Mus musculus: one gene and its partners. The protein of the gene in region 2 purifies or fractionates together with the protein of the main gene of each other region. This does not show direct contact. Links are inferred from orthologs where the notes say so. Each region holds a gene or a part of one and is shown on either strand. Other genes may lie near its edges.

Evidence for each region.
Region 1: the proteins of Map1lc3a (region 2) and Cltc purify together in Homo sapiens (affinity purification with mass spectrometry; 3 studies listed by BioGRID and IntAct, with this or other methods). This does not show direct contact. The link is inferred for Mus musculus from reciprocal best matches to the Homo sapiens genes MAP1LC3A and CLTC.
Region 3: the proteins of Map1lc3a (region 2) and Keap1 purify together in Homo sapiens (affinity purification with mass spectrometry; 3 studies listed by BioGRID and IntAct, with this or other methods). This does not show direct contact. The link is inferred for Mus musculus from reciprocal best matches to the Homo sapiens genes MAP1LC3A and KEAP1.

What each region holds. Positions count from the first base shown.
Region 1 is NC_000077.6:86,754,692-86,758,944, forward strand, and holds the start of Cltc (clathrin heavy chain 1), read right to left. Parts: upstream 2,877-4,253; 5' UTR 2,599-2,876; coding exon 2,557-2,598; intron 1-2,556. UniProt on the Homo sapiens protein: Clathrin is the major protein of the polyhedral coat of coated pits and vesicles. Two different adapter protein complexes link the clathrin lattice either to the plasma membrane or to the trans-Golgi network.
Region 2 is NC_000068.7:155,274,815-155,278,641, reverse strand, and holds Map1lc3a (microtubule-associated proteins 1A/1B light chain 3A), read right to left. Parts: upstream 2,279-3,827; 5' UTR 2,036-2,278; coding exon 1,996-2,035; intron 1,685-1,995; coding exon 1,629-1,684; intron 1,545-1,628; coding exon 1,438-1,544; intron 1,168-1,437; coding exon 1,005-1,167; 3' UTR 569-1,004; downstream 1-568. Other genes in the region: Pigu (phosphatidylinositol glycan anchor biosynthesis class U protein precursor), read left to right, coding at 1-106. UniProt on the Homo sapiens protein: Ubiquitin-like modifier involved in formation of autophagosomal vacuoles (autophagosomes). While LC3s are involved in elongation of the phagophore membrane, the GABARAP/GATE-16 subfamily is essential for a later stage in autophagosome maturation.
Region 3 is NC_000075.6:21,229,250-21,232,893, forward strand, and holds the end of Keap1 (kelch-like ECH-associated protein 1), read right to left. Parts: intron 2,654-3,644; coding exon 2,448-2,653; intron 2,178-2,447; coding exon 2,001-2,177; intron 1,620-2,000; coding exon 1,453-1,619; 3' UTR 481-1,452; downstream 1-480. UniProt on the Homo sapiens protein: Substrate-specific adapter of a BCR (BTB-CUL3-RBX1) E3 ubiquitin ligase complex that regulates the response to oxidative stress by targeting NFE2L2/NRF2 for ubiquitination.

The DNA of each region.
Region 1 (4,253 bases), on a different chromosome or scaffold from region 2:
TAGAATTTGTTCAGAATCTGCAACTCAACAAAAATTCCTTCATCACATAAAATATCAAAATTATGTGATATAGTTCCAAGCCTTGATGACAGATCTTCATCTAAACAAATGCACAAAGGGATATGAAAATAAATAGCAATTTTTTATTTGCAACATTCTCATAAAAAGTTTAAAATAAATTAATTTAGAGTTTGCTGTTAACTTTCACAAGTGAACTCTACACTCCTTACTTCCCAGTTCTCCTAAATGCTTTAGAAAGTTGTTTTCTAAGCAGAATGGCAGAGGCTGGGCAATCAAAGACTTAAGATGACAACTGGAATAATCCTTACACTGTATGTTTGTTTGTTAAAAGAGAGGGAATAAAAGTCTGAGATCAGAAGATACATTATCCTTTCGGCACACCTGACTCTATCTACTAGAGTGGGATCCTACCAGCCAAAGCCTAAAGTGTAATGAGGTCCTCCAGAAAATAAGCATCCGAGATCTTCAAGTGTATCTGTAAAGCTATTTTATAAATATTCAAAATCTTTAAATTTTGGAAAACAGTTTCAAATATTTGCAGAAATTGCTACTCACATGCCACACCTGCATTAAATCTGTTTTTAATTAGTGACAAGTTTGGATTCCAGTCTGTAAGACCATTCAACAATTCTGGTCTTGAGTTTAATAGAAATGAAAAACTATTACTCAAATCACCAGCAACGGTCATGTCATCAGCAGTTGTCTTTGCTTCTTTTGTGTAAGGTTTATACACATATTTGCAGAAAGCTATTTCTGGTAACTTCAGTGTGGCCAAGTGTTAATCCCAAAGATGGGAGAAGAAAAAACAGCAACCCAAATCATGGTCAAATTAATTAAAGCAAGCAATTAATTAAAGCTAGATTTTTTTCTGTTGTTAGTGTACACAGGCTGCCTCCCTCTTAACTCAGCCTGAAGAGCCCACTGTCCACTAACATCCAGAACAGTGCTTTCCTAACACTTTATATTCTTAACAGAGGAAACTCAAGCTTGAATTGAGAACAAAAATTAACTTCTCTGTCAGCATTGTCACTTGACATTTTTCAGACCTTTACAAAATAGAGATCTTATTGCCAAAATCAGATGAATTATTTGAAAACTAGTGATGACTGAAGAAAATGTATTCAAGTCATTTAATGGGCAAAGAAGTCCTAAAGTAAAATAATTCGTTAATGTTAGCAACACGGTAAAGTCTATAAAGAAATATTTAATTATTTTACTTGGTGCTAAATTTTAGTTAACCCTCTTTATTATCAAACATCTTTTATGTATATCAATGAAGAAAAGTAAATCAGATTGCCTTCAATGATAAAGCACTCAATAAGTTACCAATATTTGAACTGGATCACTGCACCTCCCCCTCATGAAATTAGCCCTTCAGAAGATGCAGCTGAAAGCAGATTTCTTTATGGGGATACTTGAGGGAAAGTAAATTAATATGAATAAATTATGATGTCAAAGAGTCGGGACAAGTGAACCAGGAAAATCAGCAGTTCAGAAGAAGCGTAATTCAGCGAAGCCCTCCAACAGTCACCTGCCTAGGCCAACTGCTGGCAGGTTGCCAGGTTAGACAATGGTGTATTGACTCCAGGATAAGGTGCAGTGGGGGGCGGAGGGGGGACGCCCCAGACTATTAAAAAGGAGCCAGTTACAGATCAACTTGTTAGGTACTGACACAGAGCAGGTATGCACTTAAACCCGGCTCTGATGAATTCCACGCAGTCCTGTGAGACATACTCCTGCCGTAATCCCACAACTACCTGCTAAATTCCAAAAGGCCATAAATAACCTCTAAATAACTCTCCCTACCTGCAAGAATCAAAGTGAGCCTAAGAGCTACACTAACCCTCTGAAGAAACCAAGAAAGGAAAAATATGCGCGTTCCCCTTGGGACCTTGACCCCAGGCACCGAGACTGACACCGCCCCTTGCCGCCCCTCTATCTTCTTTCTGTTCCTTCAGTGAGTGTGACCTTCGGTTCCTTATAGATTCAGGGAAGGCAAGCCACGAGCCACTGCTACCCTAACCCCAAGGTGCCTTTCTCAGTGGTGAGCTGCAGAGGGAGGATGCAGCTCCTCCCCAACCCACCCGCCACACAATTCCTGGGTGCAGACTCGATGTAGAAATGGGAATAGACCAAGGGAAGGTGACAGCCCCGCGTCGCTCAGGGTTAACGAGAAATCTTGCTCTGGGAGAAACGCGCGAGAAGCTCCCCCACCTAGCCCCTACCCAAATGAATGAACTGAGTAAAATGGGAAGGGGGGTCTGGTATGCGCAGTTCTTGCAATCCAGGAAGCAGAATAAGAGGTCGTCAGACGTAAGGCCTGGCCTCGCCGCCCTTTGCACTCCGATTCGTCATTTCCATCCTAGTCTCATATCATTTAACCCTTTAAGCTTTTAAGACACTGTCCTTCCTCCACCTATGCCAAATACCGACACCCCCCACTCCCCTTCTCTCGATCCCTTTCGGGCCAGGCCGCTAGCTTCTTCCTTCCCACGACCCTCGAAAAGTCCCTCAGCAGCCCCGACTCACACGTACCTGGAGATGCTCCTGAAAGCGAATGGGCAGAATCTGGGCCATGGCGCTGTCGGGGAGTATGGTCTCCTCCTGTCACTGGGGCTGCAGGGCAGTGCCTGCCCGGGCTCTCCAAGGGAGAGGAGGAGACGGGGAAGGGGAGGGGAGGCTGGGCTCAGAGGGATACTCTCCGGGGACGCAGGGAACTGGCAGGCAGACGAGAGAGCTTGGGTCGGGGGCGGAGGCTCCAGGGGCCGGGAGAGCCGCAATGGCGGAACCGGGAGCAGCGCAGACTCCGGAAACGGCTGAGCCCTGCGGAAGGATCCCGAGGCAGAACTCCGCCCAGTCTCCTCACGCCGTCCGCCTTATGTAGCCTTCCACAGACGCCGCGCCGCGGTCGGGCGTAGGGATTCAGGGACGCAGTGCGCGGAGCGCTCTTCGCTGATGCGGCTGCGGGGAAACAGAGGAACCGAGGGACTACTTTTTCTAGACTCATCACTTTCCCCAGGCTCCGGTTTCTCCCTTCTCCCCTCCCCCCTCCCACTTTTTTTTTTTTTTAACATTTTGCCACATCATGCGACTCGGGGCGAACTACGTCATTTCCGTAGGCGCTGTAAGACCCACCCACGCACTTCCCGGTGCACGTGATGCGGGTAGGGAAGGGTCGGTTGAAGGCTGCCAGAGTGGAGGGCGAGAGGCAAGATACTGGCCGCTGCTCCTGGGGAGGAGGTGGCGGTTGAGCCCCCTGCCGGCGTGGCGGCCTGGGCGTGAGGACACCGAGTGCCTGAGGAGAAGGCCGCGGCGTGGGTGCCGCGGTGACTAAGGGAAACGGCCCCGCCGCAGAGCTCCTCGGGCGGCTGGCTGCGGCGCGCCTCCCCCGCCTGGTTTCGCGCAGTGGGTGGTTGCTGACACCTCAGGGAGGGGGACCGTACTGAGCTGCAAGCTTCCTTGCCCTGACGCACGCCCTTCTGACGCCAGGAGAGCCGGATGGCTCCTCGAGATCCTCAGATAAACCATCTCAAAGGACAGGGAAGGCCATGGGAGAAGAATCTCCTGCTGGCCCCTGGAGAGCGCTTCCGCGGACATTTTGGTGGACTTAGATCAGCCTAGTGTAGAGATCAGTTTGGCCTTCGAGAACTGGAGGGTTCGGCCACAGGAAAAAGCTTAAAAGATGTAGATCAAAGGATGGCTAGGGAAAGAAACCTCAGGGGCTGTCTTGGAGCTGAGGGATTGACTGTTAGTCATACATGGTAGTAGGACCATTACCTGTAGTTACAGGGTGGGCGATGTAATAAGCCCTTCAAAACCGGAGCACCTTGCCTTCCTACAGCAGTAAGCTATCTGCAGCATTCATTAGCGATTAATAGCCGCCCCAGAGCTCTTGCTAAAGTGTAAGGTGTAATGTCTCACAATAGCACCAATATAAGGAAGATTTAGAGAGTTCATTTCCACATAGTTCGTCTTAATCCCCCTGAAAGTTCTTGAGGAAATTACTTTCAATGCCCCTTTCAACCTAAAGAACATAAGACAACCACTGGGTGTACAATAATTTTGCGTAAGCGGTTTTGCTTAGAGAAATCTGCTTAGTCATTTCAGTTGCGTTTAGTATTCCCCCCAAATACTGCCTTTCATATCTGGGCTGAGAGGAGAACCAGGCAAGTGAGAAGGCAGACAACAGACCCTTGAAGAAGAGCCTTGCCACCATATTTAGGATGTTTTGT
Region 2 (3,827 bases):
CATCTCTGACTACTTCTATGCCTTCCTGCGGCGGGAGTATTACCTCACACACGGCCTCTACTTGACTGCCAAGGACGGCACTGAGGCCATGCTTGTGCTCAAGTAGCCCTGGCTGGCACAGCGCTGCATGGACAAGAGGGGGAAGGGCCAGAAGCTGGGCCAGGTCCCTCATCCAGAGTTGCCAGCAGGCGCGTCCTCAGGCAGAAGAAGTTCAAGTCCAGGGTCACAAATCTCTGGCACCAAAGGGGACTCATAGCTGGCAACAAGGCCCATGGGGAGAAGCTAGGAGCACCCCACTTGGACCCCCACTTTGTGACTGTGCACAGAAAGGAAGCAGCCGGTGAGCAGGGCTTTATAGGTTGTGACTACTTAATAAATGTGTGGATCTTTTTTTTTTCATTGTTGTTCTGATGACATGTATTCCTGGAGTGGAGTGAGCTTGGCCCCCTAATACTACGTGCTATCCTGTACTAAGGAGTGGGTTTCTGGGAACACGCGTCTGTCTCTGTGTGTGAACACAGTCACCTAGCAGCCCTCCCTGCTCCCAAACAAGCAGCTGGAGGCAAAGGGCCAGGCAGGCCTGAGCAGTCTTTATTCTTTCTGCAGAGGAAATGACCACAGATCCATACACCGAGTCAGGACAAGGGGAGCCAGCCTTTCAGGGGTGGGGCAGGTCCTGGCAGGAGGCAAAGCCTCAGGTGGATGAGGGGCAAGATGGGCAGACAGGCAAGGGCCTAACAAAATGACAAACCCCACAGAGCAGGGATGCTGCTCCCCACCCACTCCCAACCCAGCCAGCACCCAAAAGAGCAACCCGAACATGACTGGCCCAGGACCTACCCAGGATGTGGTAGGCTGGCTGGTGGCCCCTACCTGGGGGGGGGAGTGGGTGTCACATCTCTGCCTAATCCACTGGGGACTGAAATAGCTTAGTTTAGGAGCCAGGACCTCCCTGGGGAGAACCTGACCAGAACTCCCAGCCACCCCCCTCCCCTCCTCTTGACTCAGAAGCCGAAGGTTTCTTGGGAGGCGTAGACCATGTAGAGGAATCCGTCTTCATCCTTCTCCTGTTCATAGATGTCAGCGATGGGTGTGGAGACGCTCACCATGCTGTGCTGGTTGACCAGCAGGAAGAAGGCCTGCGTGGGGTTGAGTTGCAGGCGGCGCCTGTGGAGGCAGGCAGGCATGCCAGGTGAGGAGGCTGCCTGCTGGAGGCCTAGGTGACCCTCCCAAAATGTTACTGAACCTTCACTTTCGGTCCATCTCAGCCAGAGGCTCTCACCTCTACTGAAGCTCGTCCCAACCCCGACCTTGGTCTTTTCCAGCCTCCTAGAACAGGGGCCCGGTGTCCCAAATCAGTCCCCTCGCCCCACTCCATCCCTTCTTGTGGAACCTGACCCTGCCCCACCCAAGGCCTGTAGGAGGCTGCCCACGCACCGGATGATCTTGACCAACTCGCTCATGTTAACATGGTCTGGGACCAGAAACTTGGTCTTATCCAGGACAGGCAGCTGCTTCTCACCCTTGTAGCGCTCGATGATCACCTGGAGTGGAGTGGGCGGGGGACTCGTAAGCCAAGGGCGGGACCTGGCAGGGCAGGGCGTGGCTGGGGGGTGCTAGAGACTCACCGGGATCTTACTGGGGTGCTGGTCGCGGATCTGCTGCACCTCCTTACAGCGGTCGGCTGCGGACAGAGCTCTGTGTGAGGCCCAGCGGTGCTGAGGCCTCCCGCGACTCCGCCTCGCTGATCCCCGAGGGGCGGCTCCCGGCCCGCCCCGCCCCAGCGCCCGCCCCCGGGGCCGTCGGCCCCGCAGCCCTCCACCGGGGGGACGCGGTAGGGAGGCGGGCGACCCTGCCAGGCCTTGCGGCCTCTCCACCCGGGGTCCGGCCGGCCGGTGCCTGACGTCATGGGGCTGACGTCACCTGCGGCAATCGGGGTCGACTGGCACCCCCATCCCTCGATCCCCGATGGCAGTTCGCCCCCCAGGGCCTCACCGAAGCTGCGCCGCTGCTTGAAAGGCCGGTCGGAGGGCATCGCGCGGGCCCGGCGGGGCGCGCAGCCGGGGCTCCGGGGTGCGCGGCTCAGAGATGCGTCTGCGGTTCGGCGCGCCGGGGGCTCCGGGGCTCGAGCTCAAGGGCTGCGGGGCTCGCGCTGAGCCTGGCGGTGGCGGCTGCGGGAGGTAACTCGCCTGGGTGACGTCAGGTCACAACATTCCTTAAAGGGGAGGCCGGCGCGCCGCTCCCATTGGGCCGACGGAAAACCCGCCTGCCTGGACCTGTGACGCCACGGCGCAGACAGCCCGGATTCCCGGCGCAGGTCGTAAGGAGGCGGAGCTCCAGGGCGCGTCACAGTTCTGTGACGTCACGATGGCAAGCTCCTCTCTTTGGCGCCACAGACTCAGAAGCCAGGCATTTGTCGCCTCCATCCAGTCTCTCGACGCTGCGGAGTAGTTCACCGCACCTTCATCGAGTTTAGCATTCGAGAAGGAAGGTGGAGCGGGGAGAGGATGGAACACCCAGAGTTTTAAAATTTTTAATGTGTCTGTAAGTGTATGCCCGCGGATGCAGAACATAGCATCGGATTTCCTTAGGCTGGAGTTAATCGCACTGCTGGGAATCAAGCTTAGGTCCTCTGAAATAATAGCAAGGGCTCTTAATTGTCGAACCATTGCTCCAGACCCCCCACCCAGGCTTTCAAAGAATTCTGGAACAACCATAGAAAGCATAGATTTCCAGAGTGAGGTTGGTTAATAGGTGGTTTAGATAAAGCAGGAGAGAATCGCTGAATGGGGGGGCTATATCAGAAGTGGTTAACCATGAGATGGAGAACATTCGGAACTGACAACACGCGAAGTCAGATTTTACAGGTAGAGCCCCTTGGTAGGATAGAAAGAAGTATGGTCTGGGAATGTTACCGAGGGTCAGGGTAGGATACTTGCCTAGCAGATGGAAGGCTTAAGTTCAGTATCTCAGGTTTTGCGGGAGGTGGAGGGGATAGAGGGACTGGACGGACACGGAGAGGCGGCCCCTTGAAGAACTTTAAAAATCGATTGAAAGCCAGAATCAATGCCAGATGTAGCTGGCTCTCATTTGTAGTCCTAGCTCTATGGGAGTTTGAGGCAGGAGGATGGGCTAGAGTTGAAGTAAGGAAGAAAAAAGATAAAACAAAAGAATTTACAAAGGACCATTGTTTGAAAAAAAAAGTTAGTTTGTACTTCAGAAACATACAGCTCAAAGGGAAGAAATTTGATGGGAACCAAGTTAACAGATGCACGCTTGAGTAATTCTAAACAACTGCTTATGGACAGAAATGGTAGTGATTGGTACAAAAACAAGCTGCTAAGGTAACAAGAATTCAGCTGAGATTGCCTTAAAGAGGCTGGGTGGCGGTGCCTCCTTAACCCCAGCTCTGTGGGCAGAGACGGGATGGTCTCTTGAGTTCAAGGCCAGCCTGGTCTAGATAGTGAGACCTTGTGTTTTGGGTTTTGTTTTGCTTTTTAAATGTCTTAGGGAGCTGGATTTGTTTGGAAAGATATTATTGTCTGCTTGGTCAGGTAGGGTGCTTGCCCGCAAGCATGAGGATGTGGGTTCAATTTTCGGAATATGTTAGATCCTAGAGGCTCCACCTACAAAGGGATTCAACCAGGCCTTATATCCCATCTCTACCTTCTCCAGGCAGCTCAATGCCTGGTATGTGGCAGCCCCAAATTAGGGTGGGGCGGTAGGATTACTTCCCTAAATTATGACCTTAAGTCCTATTTAGTGCCTTCACTAACCTTAGACACCTTCCCCTACAAGAAAATCTGTTAGTGCAAGGATTAGCCTTT
Region 3 (3,644 bases), on a different chromosome or scaffold from region 2:
CACCTTTGTTGACCTTGTCTACTGTAGCTCAGGATAGCTTCCAGCTCCACAGAGAGCCCAGGATGACCCTGAGTCTTTCTTCTGGTGCTTTTCAAAATAGTCCCAAGGGCCCAGCCTTGGTTGCACATGGTTTTTGTTGTTGTTTTGCTTTGCTTTTTTGGAGACAGTTTCTCTGTATAACAACAGCCCTGCCTATCCTGAATTTCACTCTGAAGACCAAACTGGCCTCAAACTTGGCAGAAATCCTCCTGCCTCTGCCTCCAAAGGGCAGAGATTAAAGGCATGCGCCACCACTGCCTGGCCACTACTCTCTGAGACAAGGTCTCTATTGGCCAGGCTGGCCTTCATTGGTTATGTATGAACTCCAGCATGGTTCTGCCCCTGCTGCTAGGATTACAGGTGTGGTCCACCGTGCCTAGTTTACAGGTGCTAGGGATGGAACCCAGGGCTCATACATGTCAGGTTAATTCAGAGCCACACCCAATGTCCCAGAAACCTTTATTTTCCTGCTTGGGTACAAAAATAATAAGCAGGAACCAGGCATTGCGCTATACAGATGTAGCCCCAGCACTCGGTAGGCTGGGACAGGCGGCAGCGTCAGTTCAAGGTCTGAACTGAAGGCCATCCCGGACGACGTGAGTCCCTGCCTCAAAATAAAGCTAAACACAGGAGGCCCCAGGAGAAGTTAGGAGGCACAGAAGTTAGGTCATTGGCTTCTAATGCCCTGAAACTGACAGACAACTGTGTGTCCCACAAGAAGCAAGATGCCCTGTCTGAGCAGAATGTACAATGGCAAGCAGAGACAATAGACGGGTTTCAGATACCAGCCCCATCAGGATCTGCGTGTATTTCAATAGAAGAGCTGTCTCTCCCTGAGGGATTCCGACCGCCCTCTGAAGACCTGTGTGCCTACTCCATTCTTTATTCCCATGGGAAACTTACAGGGTTATTTAACAAAATAACTGTTCAGGGCTCAGAGCCCAGAGGCTTCTCTGTGCCGGCTTGTCCCTTGGGCCCCAGTTCCAGAGGGAGCCTCAGCCCCTTGGCCTCAGCTGTCCCTTCTTCCCCTGTCCACTGGAATTGATCACCGAGTTGCAGGAACCAAAGAAAAAAACATGTGATCTCCTGCTTTGCCTGTCCCCCCCCTTCTGGTGGTGGGAGTTCAAGGGCTTCTCACCTGTGAGGGTGCCCCGCCCATACCCCATCCCAGACTTGGACGCTCCAGGGCTATGACAGATGGGCCCATGGATTTGAGTTCTGGTCTTCCACAAGGTCCTTTACAAGGCATCCCAGTCGCCCTTCCTGGAAGAAGGGATGACTTCTTCTGCCGCCTCTTCGGCCCTGTGTTTTCTGTTTATGCTTTGTTTTCTTCTTTTTTCTTTAGTACAGAGAAGCAGTGATACACAGACTGTTTTTCTGTCCTGTTGTCAGTGCTCAGGTATTCCAAGTGCTTCAGCAGGTACAGTTTTGTTGATCAATTTGCTTCCGACAGGGTTCCATGGTGACGGCCACACCCACCCCGCTGCGGCCAGATGTCATGCGGGTCACCTCACTCCAGGTATCACTGTCCGGGTCATAGCATTCCACACTGTCCAGAAAAGTGTGGCCATCATAGCCTCCTGCAGGGAGAATGAAGAGAATGGTCACCCCCTCAGAGTGCCCAGCCTACCACGCAAGGCGGCAGAGAACAGAAGGGAAAAGAAGCCCCCTGTTTGCGATGGATAGGTTGGAGGTGGAATGTGGTTCAGTCTAGAGCCCCTGCCTAAACTTCCCAGTGAAGGTGGGGTACAGGGTGGGAAGTGTTGTAAGAGTGGGTGGGGGAGCGGCTTAGTAGTAGAGCTTCGGCCCAGAATCCCCCAGTGGGGCGGGGCACAATTAAAGGACACTTGCCAAGCATTCGGGACTCTCTGGCTTTTATACTCAGCACCAAAACTTGGAGAAGAAAAGATATGGACACTCAAGTGTGGTTTTCACCCTGATCCAGCCTCCAAGGGCCTCACCGAGGACGTAGATCTTGCCCTGGTGCACAGTAATCCCCAGCGCACTACGGTGATGCCTCATGGGGGCTACGAAAGTCCAGGTCTCTGTCTCCACGTCGTAGCGCTCCACACTGTTCAACTGGTCCTGCCCATCGTAGCCCCCTGCTGCATAGATACAGTTGTGCAGCACGCAGACCCCTAAAGGAAAGCGCACAGTGGGAGTCACCGTAAGCCTGGTCTGGGGTGGGGGGTGGGGGCAGGGCCACTGGACAAGGGACTTTAGTAGCCACTGCCCTTCCCTCCACCACTGGAGAAGCTGGAGTAGGAGGATCAGGAGTTCAAAGTCAACCTCAGCGACATAAGGACTTCGAGGGCAGCCTCAGTCATGTAACAGAGGGAGGAGGGTAAAGCAAACGCTTCCTCGCTTCCTCGCTGGGCTGGGCTGTCCTCACTCCACCCCCCACTCACCGGCCCCGCTCCGGATGGTATTCATCGGTGTGATCATCCGCCACTCATTCCTCTCTGGATAGTAACATTCTGCGGAGTTAAGCCGGTTAGTCCCGTCAAAGCCCCCCACTGCATACAGCAAGCGGTTGAGCACTGCCACGCCCACGCCAATCCTCCGTGTCAACATTGGCGCGACTAGATGCCACTCGTCCCGCTCTGGCTCATATCTGCAAAAGACATAATACCCCGTGGTCACCCGTGGTCAACCCTTACACCACGGCCCTCCATCTGCTTGCACATTTATTTTTAGGTTTTTGTTTGGTTGGTTTTTTGTTTGTTTTGAGATAGAACCCTGCTATGTAGTTCAAGCTAGCCTTGAACTCTCCGCGATCTCCTGCTTTAGTCTCCCCAGTGCGGAGAGATGAAGGATGTGCAGCACCAGGCCTGGCTCCAGAAGTGAGGGGTCATCAGAATCCAGGTTCACTGTCATCAATTATGACTGACAGCAACAGCAATTCCCTCTAGCCTAGACGGCTTTACCCCTTAGGGCTGCAGCACCTGTGCACTTCACCCCTAGCAGGATTCATTGCCTCACACCACAAGATTTGCTACAGACATGTGGGGTAGGACATCCAGGGTCACTAAGTGACATCTGGGCAGGTGTTCAACTCCAAATGTCTAACTGGGTCTCCCAGGTGGTTCTCTGAGCAACATGATCAGAGATGGGTGAACACGCCCCATTAGCCCAGCAGCGTCCAGTCCATCCCTGCATCCTACAGTCCTTGAAGGGGCCACCCTATTCACAGACCACACACATTAGAGCCCCTAGCACATTTGTTTACATTTCCATTTTCAGGCATGGGCGGGGTTAGCTTGGGGTAGACAGCTGACCTAGCAAGCATAGATTTCTAGGTTCTATTCCCAGCACTACAAATACAAAATTAAAATTTTTTCTCATTTTCTTACCCTTGCTCCAAGCCCTAAATTTGTGTGTGTGTGTGTGGGGGGGTTGTTTGTCTGTCTTGAGACAGGGTCTCTTATATCCCAGGCTGGCCTTGAACTTGCCATACAGCCAAAGATAAATATTGAATTCCTGATTCTCCTCCCTCTACCCCCAGAGCGCTGGGATGACAGCTGGGTTTATGAGGGCTTCCTGAACGCGGGGCAAGTGCTCTGCCAACTGAGTCACACCCCCAGCCCTTTTTCTTCTTTTCCCTC